Neodiprion lecontei: one gene and its partner. Each later gene encodes a partner of the first gene's protein in a complex. Links are inferred from orthologs where the notes say so. Each region holds a gene or a part of one and is shown in the gene's direction. Other genes may lie near its edges.

What was found. The genes of interacting proteins can lie anywhere in the genome.
Region 2: BUD13 homolog (region 1) and FHA domain-containing protein DDL share a complex: the UniProt entries of both Homo sapiens proteins name them as parts of the minor spliceosome. The link is inferred for Neodiprion lecontei from reciprocal best matches to the Homo sapiens genes BUD13 and SNIP1.

Annotation. Positions count from the first base shown.
Region 1 is NC_060263.1:19,782,793-19,790,120, reverse strand, and holds BUD13 homolog, read left to right. Parts: upstream 1-1,743; 5' UTR 1,744-2,055; coding exon 2,056-2,150; intron 2,151-2,294; coding exon 2,295-3,597; intron 3,598-3,728; coding exon 3,729-3,883; intron 3,884-5,697; coding exon 5,698-5,882; intron 5,883-5,970; coding exon 5,971-6,143; 3' UTR 6,144-6,381; downstream 6,382-7,328. Other genes in the region: prostatic acid phosphatase, read left to right, coding at 28-208, 928-1,052. UniProt on the Homo sapiens protein: Involved in pre-mRNA splicing as component of the activated spliceosome. As a component of the minor spliceosome, involved in the splicing of U12-type introns in pre-mRNAs.
Region 2 is NC_060266.1:20,093,398-20,099,116, reverse strand, and holds FHA domain-containing protein DDL, read left to right. Parts: upstream 1-2,235; 5' UTR 2,236-2,320; intron 2,321-2,547; exon of another isoform or gene 2,548-2,711; intron 2,712-3,051; 5' UTR 3,052-3,064; coding exon 3,065-4,315; intron 4,316-4,713; coding exon 4,714-4,719; 3' UTR 4,720-5,109; downstream 5,110-5,719. UniProt on the Homo sapiens protein: Required for pre-mRNA splicing as component of the spliceosome. As a component of the minor spliceosome, involved in the splicing of U12-type introns in pre-mRNAs. Down-regulates NF-kappa-B signaling by competing with RELA for CREBBP/EP300 binding.

The DNA of each region.
Region 1 (7,328 bases):
CCTCAGATTCTTCACCCTATATTCTAGATTTCGTACAAAAATACGTCCGCTGAACCGAGGCTGTTAACTTTGCCAGGCTGTGAGGTCGCGTGTCCATTAGGGAAATTTGTAGAATTAACTAACGACATGATACCAAAAGATTGGGCAAAAGAATGTCTTCTAGGCTGGGAACAATACGCACACAACATTACCATGCCATCTATATTTGGTAAGATAAATCTTGTTTAGTTAGAATCCCTCAGTTTATGTGAGATTAAAAACGTTCATAAGGTTTAAAGAAATTTTGGAAGCAACTTCTTACGGTACTTCTCTGTATGGAGAGTGCATCCATGAAAGCGTCACATGCTGAGCGTAATGCCAGACTTCCCATTATTGCAGTGATAGTATACCTATTTATACTCTGACTTGCGTGTTAATAGTATATCACTGCACAGTGTTACTATAGCTTTCTTATAGTGGACTCAACATACGACTTGCCTATATTACTGTTGCGGCAACATAAGACACAACTATATTTTTTTCTAGTGTTTTGAATAATTAACTAAAAGTTGTTTAAAGTTCAACAGACCATGATTGCGAAAAAGTTAATAAACGAGTCTACATAGTTATCTGTAAAGAATTAACAAGTACATGTAAATGCAATTGATTTGACCTAATCTTTGTAAATAATTTCGAGAAATATTCAATGTATATACATTAGTAACATAGATATTGAATTTCGTATGAACAATTTCTTTATGATTTTAATTCACCAATAGTATTCATATATCAATTTAACTTTAACTTACATTCCACTTGAAATATTTCATTACAAAAATGTTTGAGAAGTTCCTTTCCCGTGACGGCTGTACCCCCTTTAGTTTTTATTGACAATTCATACTGCATCTTCTCATTTCTAATTTCTTACTCTATTGGTTTCTATTTCAGGTATTTCAATATTGTTGCTGGTCATCATCATATTACTAGGTTTGTTAATCATCGGCGTTGTCTACTATCACCGCAACTGTGATAGTAACCGTTATTACTTTAAGTTGACGACAGATCCTATTTAATTTAATAATAAAATCCGACTTATGATTATTGCGGATACTAACACGGGCATTGGAATAATTTAGTATTATAAAAAGAAAATTTTCCAGTGTGAAGTTCGTCCCTTATTTTTATTGATCGTTGAACACACGCTCAACTTTATTCACAGGATCAGCACAAAAGTCACCTGATATGACGCGGTCATTTTGTACTCGAAATTTTTCATGATAGTGCAATTTGAGTAAGTTAGGTGTTATGGGTTAATTCAACTTTCAACTTTGCTGTAAAAAACAAATTCTATTTACATTATAATAAATATAAAACAGAGACGACAAAATTAAGATTTAGTGACACAAAGTGGTATTGTATAAATGATTTTAAAAAAATTAGTCGTGTATTTCAGAAAGACAGAATCCTCATTTTCTACCTTTCTCAAAGACACGCGCAAGCAACGCTGCGTAACTACGGCGAGCGTTCATTGCAGCACTTCCAATACGGTTACGCAGTGCGGTTACACCGCGTGCTATGGCAAAGGGCAGCCCCCTGGCACCACTGCTCGTATACTAAAAAATTGTACGCGTTTTGTCCCCGTTTTTTTAGTTCCTCTAAGTGGCGCTAGTAGACTTCTGACACGCTCGCTGACCGCGCGCAAGCCTGTCAGACAACTACTAGCGCCACTAGTGGTGGAGGTTGGCGGCAGAATCGAGGGACATTTTGCGAACCACTTTTGCAGCGTGTGTCAGGGGGCTGGCAAAGGGATATGAGTGCCCAGTATGGAGGGTAAAGCTAATATGCGTGAGCTCCGGCAAACGCATGCGGAAGGCGACTCGTACGATGCGTACTAAGTAGGCCGCTCCCTCACTAGCGCTAGCGGCGAAAATTCACAACATCGGCTTCATTTTCGAGCACGGTTTTACAGCCGGAGTACCCAGACCTGTCTATAAGACCGTGGTATGAACCTAGGTATGAATAAGTATAGATGAAAACAAACTGTAAGGTTATGCGCACACAACGTTGGATAAGAAAATGATAAGTCAGAAAGAGTATTTGAAGAAATACCTGTCATCCGACAAGGACAAAAAGAAGATTAAAAAAAAGAAACCCAAAATCGGGTCCAAAACGTAAGTGTTATCTTGTACGACTGTTTGATCGAGCAATAATACGATTTTTATTAGGTTAGATCGCAATGACCCTGGAATACAATTCCCACGATTTTAAAATCTGCAGCGCAATAATATCCATTAATTTTGCTTTATTTCCTCCAGTGTTAAAATTATTGACGATGACATTGATCTTAAAAATATGAGAGCAATAGAAGATGGGGAATTCGACATTTACAACAACACGGAAGACGGACCACAAATCGCTGGTATTGTCGACGAACGCGGTCCAGTTGACTTTTCCGACAAGAAAAGGTGGAAAATTATAACAGACGATATTGATGGAGACATAACTGTAACCAGCATTGACAGAAACGAGAGAATATCTGAGGCGATGAGCCAGTCAAGCAGAATACCTGCTCCTAATTCCAGAAATCGTTCTCCATCTGATGATGGTAAAGGCAGTCCACCTCATAGGCAAAGGAATGATTCCGACCAGAAAGAATCTAGTCGTAAGACACTATCGTCAAAGAAACTGCGTCAACATTCTATTTCTAGTTTGATTGAAAAGCCACCTGCTTCAGAGGACAGTGACTTCAGTCCACCTCGGAGAGTAAAAAAAAACAATGACTTGGAAAAGTTCACTCGACGTAGGAAATCTTTTAAAAAGAAACAAAGCCGAGCAGTTTCCAGCCCTGCAAGAAATTCCTCAGATTCTGAAAACAACGACACTAGTCCACCTAGCAGGACCAGAAAGGATTCTGATTCAGACGAAACTAGGTGCAAGAAATCTTCGAAGAAGAAACGGCGGGTTGAAAATCCTTGCAACTCCGAGGACAGCAAATGCAGCCAACCTCGAATATTCCGGAAGAACTCTGATTTGGATGAATCGATTTGCAGAAAATCATTCAAGAAACGACACAGTGCTTTCTCTTTGAATTTTGAGGATAATGACTTAAGACTGCCTCGGAGGATTAGAAAAGACTCGGACTCTGATCTTAGCCCACCCAGAAATTCAAAGGCTGAAAGAATTGATTGTACTAAACATTCGAAACAACGTGAAAATTCATTGACAAGTTCTCGGCACGACAAGCATTACAATAGAACTTCTAAAGCATCTCCTTCTGTACATTTTGAATCTTTACGTTCTAGAGGAAAAGATGAGTACAAATCAGGGAAACATAGTAATAGGAGTAATTCATCCGAACATGAGAGAAGTAATCGACAATCGAGAAAAGATGGAACAAAATTGAACAGCAGGAGAAGAAAGGAAGGTGATAAAGTTCGGTCAATATCACCTCAGGATAGACGACGAGATGGCAAAAAGGGAGGAACAAATAAGCATTCCAGAAAGGATGAAGATGACTCTGCACCTGATTTGAGTCCACCTAGGGAGACTCGGATGAATCATGAAGATTTGGATTCAGAATCCAAACCATTACAAAAAACTTCTAAAAATTATCAAGAGGTGCCTATTTCTTTGAAATGATTTATCTATTGCATTGCAAATTGCTTTTCTTATTTGATAATTTAATAAATCTATATTAGAATGATTCGAGATCTTTATCATGTGACAAAGGTATCAATTTTTGCTCTCAGATGAGTGAAGAGACAACTGGTTTTGGGCAGGCTCCAATTTTCCGCGATCGTAAAACTGGTAGAAGACGAGACTTCGCGGCAGAAAGACGCGACAAAGAACAGAAGGATGAAAAGCGGAAAGAATTGGAGGATAAATATGCTCAGTGGGGAAGAGGGTATGTTTTTCTATGGATATGTTAACCTCTTTATAGCAGGGCTGGTCGAGTTATCGATAGATCGATATATCGACCAGCAGTCAGGTTAGGGACTCCACGTAAGAAATTGATAGAACTTATTTCTAAATTTCACGTCCAATAAAAGGTTGATTTCAACTTACATTTCTCCGCTGTTAAAAGGTTAATATTACGATCACATCATAATTACCGGGCTACGGGCTACGGGCTACAGGCTACTTATTATTGTTGATCAAGCAAAGATTTGCGTTCAAAAGTTTGTACATTATCTAAGTAAAAATTAAATATTTTCCTTGGAAATGAAGGTCAGTAACAACACCAAAAAATTGTTTCGGTCCAGGTGGGGCCTCCCTCAAAACGATTATATATTTACAGAACCATCTATCACGAGAAAGAAGAATAGGTAACACAGGTGAATTACTTAAAATTAATATCTAACGAGACTTATGAGATTAACAAGGCAACTTCTGCCGATATAATTGAAAAGAAATTACCTAGTAATAACGTGGAATATTTCAATTTTGAAGAACAACACGAAGAAGTCAATATTTAAAAACAAAGTACAATAAAAAAACCAGTGTTAGATTAAAAAACTGCGACACGAAACTCCCAAGCATTCATCATGGTTAATAAAATTAAATTAAACACACAAACGAAATTTTTGAACAAAGATCTATTTTAAAACATGTAGATCCTCCAGCGTGCAGTGGAAATAGAACTAAATCAGTCAGTAGTAAGAAGCATAGACAATGAGACAACGAGTTCAATAAATATAAAAATATGATAAGAAGATGAGATCAAGAGCAAGCTCAGTCGGTAATTAGTGGTTATGGTTGATGTATTACAGAAGTGTAAATAGCGCTGAGATGTTCAATATCTTGTCTTAGATTGACCGCGTTAGGATGTGCAACAATGTTGCACGTTGTTGTTAACCTTTTGTAATAAAAGGGCTCAACATCTAAAATACTAGGTTTAGTACAATTGAAAGCATGATTAAATTCAATCGAGTGTCCAGTCAGACCTGTATAATTATCATCATGCTCATGGATGTTTCATTTATGTTCACTAATTCTTGTATGTAACTGCCTACTTGTTTGTCCTACGTATGACAAATTACATTGGTTGTAAGGAATTTTATAAACGACGCAAGAACGCTTATCCAAGGGTAGCAGATCTTTGCCAGAGTCAAACACAGACGATAAATCGTGTGATAAATTTTTTCTGACAAATTGAATATTATATTTTGAGAAAATTATACTTAAAGACTCGAATAGACCAGAAACATATGAGATAGATGCAAAGTTTTTTTGATTAACAGGTGCAACGGCTACTTCATTATTGTTGTTGGAATCACGAACAGATACAATAGACTTATATTTGTTATGTATATGTTTGTTAAGAAGGGCAGGTGGATAATTATTCTTGCGTAGTACATGATGAATCAAGGAAAGGTTCTTGTTATGAAATTCGATACTAGATAATCTAATCGCTCTATCAACCAAGCAATTGATTGTTCCAATCTTGTATGATCTGCGATGGTGAGAATGAAAATTTAGGTACCTCTGTGACCGGGTGCCTTTGTGGAACCAATCAGTTTTGAAAAGCTGATTGTCATTAATGATAAATACATCCAAAATACTGATTCGACGATTGCATTAATTGAATTTTTTGGTGTTGTTACTGACCTTCATTTCCAAGGAAAATATTTACTGCAACATTACCGAATTTAAGAGACCATTATTCATTATCTAAGTAACTTTCGAACTTTCATTTGATACGTACATTCTTATTCACAGTTTGAAGCAAGTTGAAGACCACAAAGAAAAGCTGGACAGAGATTTGTACGAGATGAGTAAACCCCTGGCAAGGTACGCGGATGATGCGGATTTGGAGCGAGAACTCAAAGCACAGGAAAGAGAAGGGGATCCAATGCTAGCGTACATAAAACGGAAGCAGATAAAAGAAGGAAAACAGGAGCCAGGTATTGAAATAAAAACTTCATAACTGTGCCAAATGCAATTGTATTTTAGATCGCAGTTCAAACACAAGTTTTTAATATGAAATTTCAGAAAAACCCAAATACCAAGGACCCTTTATGCCCAACCGTTTTGGCATTCAACCAGGATATCGTTGGGATGGTGTAGATCGGAGTAACGGTTATGAGAAGAAGTGGTTCGATGCACAAAACGCGAGGAAGGCAGTACAGGAAGAAGCGTATAAATGGAGTACCGCCGACATGTAGTGAATAAATGTACATATATACAATTTTTCCTGGTACGTCAATCAGGTTTGCTGCTTTCAAATTTCATAGGTATGCAACTTGTACTTTGGAACTTGCATCAGGAAATATTAGATTCTGTTCCTTGCGGTGATCATCAATCAGGAATAAATTATGTCGGTTAATATAACTACCATTCATCTTAGGGGCAGATGAAGCTTAAAATTATTGAAAATCAATAAATAAAAAAATACGTCATGTTTTTAATACGTATTCATTCGTTTTACGATTTACGAGTGAATACAAATACAAAGAAATACCGGTCAATTCCTGTGGTTTACCGGTTAGTAAAGAAAGAAATCTGTAGTTCAGTGTGTCGTACTACTATAATCGGTCCTTACCGATCGAGGAAAACGTCACTTATTATCTTCTTGCATCCTGATTTTTACTATTAAGCGCAATTCCAAATGAAATACCGATTGCAGAACAAATTAATTCAAAAACTTTTTGGTTTACTGTGATACTAAAGCTTGGCATTATTATTTCGTAAAATAAAACTTTTTTTGATATTTATATTTCGCAATGCATGTGGAGCTGCGCTGATTGTGATATTTTCATATGGCTGATGCGTAGGCTTTGACGTTCACTGAAGAATATAAAGACGGATACCCCTGGGTGAATTTTTGTGACCAGTTTTCGGCGGGAAAGTAGGCCCAGATGGGCTTGGGAACGTTTCTGTTTTATCAATTCTACCTAACGGGCTCGCACCTACATTCGTAGCAGCCCAAGTAGTGTCAGTATGGAAGCTTGGGATTGAGTCTGTACCACGGTCTTACTTACATACAGGTCTGGCAACGAAGCCAATTTTCTACAGAGCGGCGTGGTTCTCTTGCTGTCCGTGGTTCTTAGTGTTTGAAATAGCCATGTCGCGGCGCTGCTATCTAGAGATGCACTATTATTAGGTCGGCGCTGCATTGCGCACGCATTGATTATCCATCCTTTGATGACAACGCCGACCTGGCGGCCACAAAGTGAGATATAATAGCCGGCCGTGAAATGAACAACCCCCACTACCTTCGTTGTCAGATCTGTATGTAAGACCGTGGTCTGTACAAAGTGAGTACGTAAGACTACTTGTCCTACCACCTCCGAGCACCTCCAAACACCGCCAACTACCTCCGATCACCTTCGTCCTCCTCGTCCACCTCG
Region 2 (5,719 bases), on another chromosome or scaffold:
TGACGAAAAACAGCTGATAAGAATTTATTTTACTTTCTGTATAATATTGACGTAATTATCACACCATATTTTTCTTCTCAATTGTTAAAATCCTAAATAACGATTATTGTCAATTCGTAGTTTTCCAAGGCGCTAGAAAATATGGGAAAAAATCTCCTTCTCACAGGGAAAATTTTGAAATGTTCAAAATTACATAAATGACATAATTGAAAAATCAACGGTTGCTTCTCTATAATAAGTTGAAGCGAGGATAGTTAGACGTTGCACTGTTGCACATTTATTTAATTTCAGTTGATAATATCGAAGAGGTTGTTCAAAAAAAGATACGTGATTTGTAGTCACCTAAAATAAAAAGAGTACCGAAAACGATAATCGAAGGTAGTATAGCAAGAAGATAACCCGAGAATTTCCTTGCGCGTATCTATAATTTAACATGCAGATCACTTTGTCACAAACCATAGTCATCCTTATCGTAAGAAAATTTTTTTTTCATTTAATATTTAGTGTCACAAGTGCGCGTCGTAGATTTTTATTATCGTCAAGTGAAAAACGTGTCGGCGCAAAAAGTAGAAACACGAAGCTTTAGAATTTGATACACGTGACAAAAAAAAAGTTGATGATCGATTGCAAAATCTTCGGAAAGTTTGGAGTCTCGTGTGCAAAATAATTCAATAATTGATGAAATTTAAAACTTTGAAAAATATCGAAAAACTTGACTACCAGGAGTTTAGATGTGCATATATGTATATGATTTTAGTAATGGGTGAAGCAAGGTGGAAAACTATAGCCCAAAATTTGCAAAGAAATTAAAATTATTTAATTCACTTAACAGCAACATTCGTCAAATCCCAGAATCAACTTTGTTCGAATAACAATTTCATACTCAACGGTGATCGATATCAATTTAAACTAGTTTTGCCATTTCATACGAATTCTTTAGTCATGAATTTATTCATTTTTATATTTATTTATTCATAAATTTATAAATTTTGCAGGATAAAAGTCGTTTTTACGTAGATCAGTACAAATTGGCGTTGATAGGTAATTAGCCAGTGCTTACTTGAATTTAGAATTGAAGTATCAACTCTGAATTGTTTTTTATCACTTATTGTACTCCAAGAAATTGATGTCGGAATTATTTTTAATTTTCAGAATTATTTTTTACTTTTTTATTCGAAAAATTTTATTGGTAATCTGTTTAAATTCCCTTGATTCGAAACATTGAATAAAGTAGCAGTTGTTTATTTTGAAAATTAGAAAAACTTAACTGAGAATTAATTCTTCCCCTTCGACGAGCAAATTCGTATCATTATACAATTACGTTCAATATTTAAATTAAAAAACTCAAATCAGGAATTTTTCGGAAAATTTTTATTCTATCACCGCAATTAAAAATTAACGCTGTTAATCGTAATTTTTAGTTTGAAACTGAAGAATAGCCCGACACTGTTACTTTGTATTACGTAATTGTGTAAAAAATGTGCAGGCAGCGGGTTGCAAGACGATGCGTTCGCCGGGTGCCAAATACCTTATTTGAAACCATCCGTATACAATTGATAACGATTTGATTACAAATAATCCGGAAAATCCATCTCGGGACACTCGGCCGAAATTCCGAGAGGGGACGCTGTAACGAATAGCGAATAAGATATTCCAGGCTTTTTGTTTCTTTTGTCTTTCGGTTCCGAGCAATTATTGCTGGTAGCGTTGAAGCGTCCAGGTTTCGAATTGAGAGTTGCGCGCTTGAGGTTTGTAAAACATGTTCATCCTTTGGTTAACTTCTTCGGCTATTTCTCCTATCGTTTGCATCAACGAAAGATTTCCAACTCTGTTAACAGTAAACCAAGTGTATGTTTATTGTGCATCTATTTAGATAACACAATTTTTGTCGATCCGATGGAGTTACATTAGCATTGCTGAATTTGGTTCGGAGTGATCTTGCATAGTTGAAACGTATACGGCGTCGTCACGGGGTTGTATGAAAATTTCAGTCTGTTCCGGTTCGTCTTTTCCATAGGCATAATAATATTCATTCGACTCTGAAAAATCTGGATATACGCGGTAAACGATGGTAACGTCAGTTCTCGTCGTCTTTACGTACCGACCATTTGTCGGATTGGGTTGCGTGTGCAAGAAAGGCCGCAGAGAGCGCCACGTGACGATCAATTTATCACGTACACATTTCATTACGAAAAGTCTCATAAGGCTTTCAGTCTTTACGTGTCCCTCAGTCAACGTCTGTTGACGAACAGAGTTGCATCGGTTCGTGCTGTACAACTTGGGGAAGAAGTCACCAGAAGTCAAGGATACTTTGAACAAGGTAAGTTGTAAACATATTAGGAATAATTATTACCGTGCCTCAATTTTTCTTTCTGGTGCAAGTGAATCGTACACCAAAGACAAACTTTCTCGCGAGCAACAGTTTATTGTCATTTTTCCTTTTATTATTTGTACCGTAATTTGAATTATTCTACTCCAATCGTCCGGTCTAGGGACTATTCTTGGCCGGCCGGTGGCATCCCTGCTATTTACGAGACAATCCGACAAATGGCGGAAACGACGGATCTTGGTCGGTGTTTGACAATTTGAAACGTCGTACTTTTTGCTCGGATTTTTAGCGTCGCGAATGAATCGAAATATCAGAAATTCAGTAGCGATCTTAACATTAATCGCAGATGCCTACATTTAGTGAAACCCACTAGCCATATTTTGTAAGTATTTTACTTTTGATAATCCACTGGGTTATAAAATTTTTCGGATGCTTTCGCCTTCAGTCAACTCGTGTACATAACCTCAAACAACAAATGTTGGTGTGTGTTGAGTGGGAAAATTATTAGTGGCAATCAAGGAGACTTGATTGAATTGACGTCACTTATTGCATCCTCCCTACACGCAATTTGGCGTATTTCCAGAGCTGCGAGATTATTTTTAACATTCCGAATAATCTTAACGCCAGAATAAAATTCAATACGGCAACCCAGCGCATACTATCGGATGCCTTAACCTCTAAAATTATTTGTTCGATTCCATGTCTATGGTTTAATTCAACAGGAAAATCTGGATAATGGGGCGAACGAAAAGGGAACGCAAGGCTAGCAGTTCAGAGAACGAGTCTGATAGTTCCAAGGACGAAGGTTCGTCGAATTCAAGTGATGCCAAAGAACAAGCACCGCCTTCGCCGAAGCAGCGCAAGAGGCAGATGGAGAAAGAAGAACGTGTAAGGCCAAAGGAAATGCGCCAGGACAGAAACGTAGAAAGATCAAGATGGGAAAGCCCGGACGGAAGGAAGCGGAAGCACAGTCCTCAGTCTCAGAACCAACGGTACCCGGCGTCACGCGACGACAGAAGAAAGGGTCACAGAGAGCGCCAGGACGGCGGAGAGGCCAGAACCAAGTGGGAGAAAAAGGAGAGAGATAGAGATATAGACAGAGATTTGGAAAAGCGAAGGAAGGAGGATAACCGCAGCCAAAATGAATCTGACAACCAGCGGAGGCGGGAACGAGATGCTCCGGAAAGGTCGAACAGAAACTACAACGGTGAAAATCGACCCGTCGATAGGTTTGACGGCAGAAGGCAGAACGAAAGGAAGTCCCCTCGGCGAGACGAGAGGAACAGGGGGTTTGAAGAGCGAGAACGAGGTAGACATAACAGCGGTAGAGGTGGCAGGCGAGGGGGTAGAGGAAACAGATTCGGGGATGGCGATGGGCCGAGAAGCAGTTTCGACGGCTCCAGAGTAAAGGGTGAGCCGTCGCCGGAATGGGGAAAAGCGGATATGAAAAAGGAGAACAATGGGAAGCCAATTGAGAAGGAGAAGCCAAATTTCGAGCCTTCTGGAAAGTTGACGGAAGACGCAAATACTGTGAACGGTGTGGTGATAAAATACACAGAACCAATGGAGGCGCGAAAGCCGAAGCGCCGTTGGAGACTCTATCCCTTCAAGGGTGAGAAGGCGTTGCCCACCCTCTACGTCCATAGGCAGTCTGCTTACCTGATGGGCAGGGATCGCAAGGTTGCGGATATTCCTCTGGACCATCCGTCTTGCTCCAAACAGCATGCCGCTCTGCAGTTTAGGCTTGTCTCATTCCAGAGGGAAGATGGTGGCGAAGGAAAGAGGGTCAGACCGTATTTGATAGACCTAGAATCTGCCAACGGCACTCATGTTAATGACATCAAACTCGAGCCTAAAAGGTATCACGAGCTCTTGGAGAGGGATGTTCTGCGCTTTGGATTCAGCTCTCGGGAATACGTTCTTCTGCACGAACAGAGTAAGGATGATGCTCTGGATGATGACGTCCCATTTACATCTGCTGTTCCGGTGAGAAATTATTAATGACTTTTGTTCTTTCGTCTTTCTACTTGATGTCAAGTTTCCGTACAGTTGTAATTTACCTTTCATACTTTGACAGCGATAAAACGATATAATCTCAAAATTTTACGAAACAAGACATAAAACCAGGCAACTAATGAATAATAAATCTTGGATTTAAATTTCTCTTTGCTCCAAAACTGTCAAAGATTTGTCATCAGAAGGATACTTTTAACCGAGCAGTTTTTCTGTTATATTGCAATAATCCACAGCGCACTGTATATTTTGTTGTTGGCTCTACATATTTACCATAGAATTCAGTAAAATTCCCCAAAGAAATTTGCGGGCTCAAATTAGTTGATGAGAATGTAGTTTCCTTAATTTTATTTCATCATTTTTGTTTGCAGAAATGAGCTTAACGGGCTTACTGAGCATACGCGGTGCTCGAAGAGGTGGAATGTCAATGTAGAACGATGATATTGCAATTTTATGGAACGCAGGTGTATCGCTAGATTGCATCGGTAGTTTGTTGGCAACGAGCGCTGGAAGAGTGTTTTGAAGTTTTAGAAAGATTAAATGTAAATCAATAGATCTTGATGAAATATTTTATAGATATTTTAAGATCAAGGAATCGAGAAATTTGGATTGTTATTTCTTCAGAATTGTTTACTTTATTGTCAATCCTGATTCACAAACTTTGTAATGTTCTATCCGGTAAGACATGGCGTACAAAATTGAATCTGTACACTACCAATGTGAAAAATAAAACAATCGCATAAATTAAAAATATAAAATGTCATGAATCTGTGTTACCTCTTCATTTCACTGTCGGTTATTTTATTTATTTACATCGTTACTTCCTACGTTACGCATTAGGACGTAGACGGATAGTGGCCAAGTATCAGATACGTTGGGGTAATTTTGGTCACCATTTTCGGCCCACGAATCTTTGGATATTTATTACTTAAACAATATACGAGCAATTTTTCACTGACGCAAAGTAATATTTACAAAAGTAATTACATCATTCAATTATAATCGTTTATATTCCATGTAATGATTCCTTCTTTCATTTTTTATACAATATAATAAAATTAGTATCAAATGATCAAGGAACAATACAAATGTTACGTATGCAAAATGACATTTGAAATGGAAATGAAGAAAAATAACTACAATAAGACATGAAATGATTATTTTAAGCGAACTCGTTTTCAAGTTTATTCAAGTTGACTGGAAGATGCTTAATACTTGAGCATGTGTGTGAAAATGTGGTGTAAGTTGATGGATGAAAATCTAATGATGACATACTAGAAAAACATTTAAAAATATAATTATTTACAATTTGATTCACGCTAGCTTATATTTATTCATTTATCTTAATTATTATCGTTTAAAAGGCACTTTAAAAGT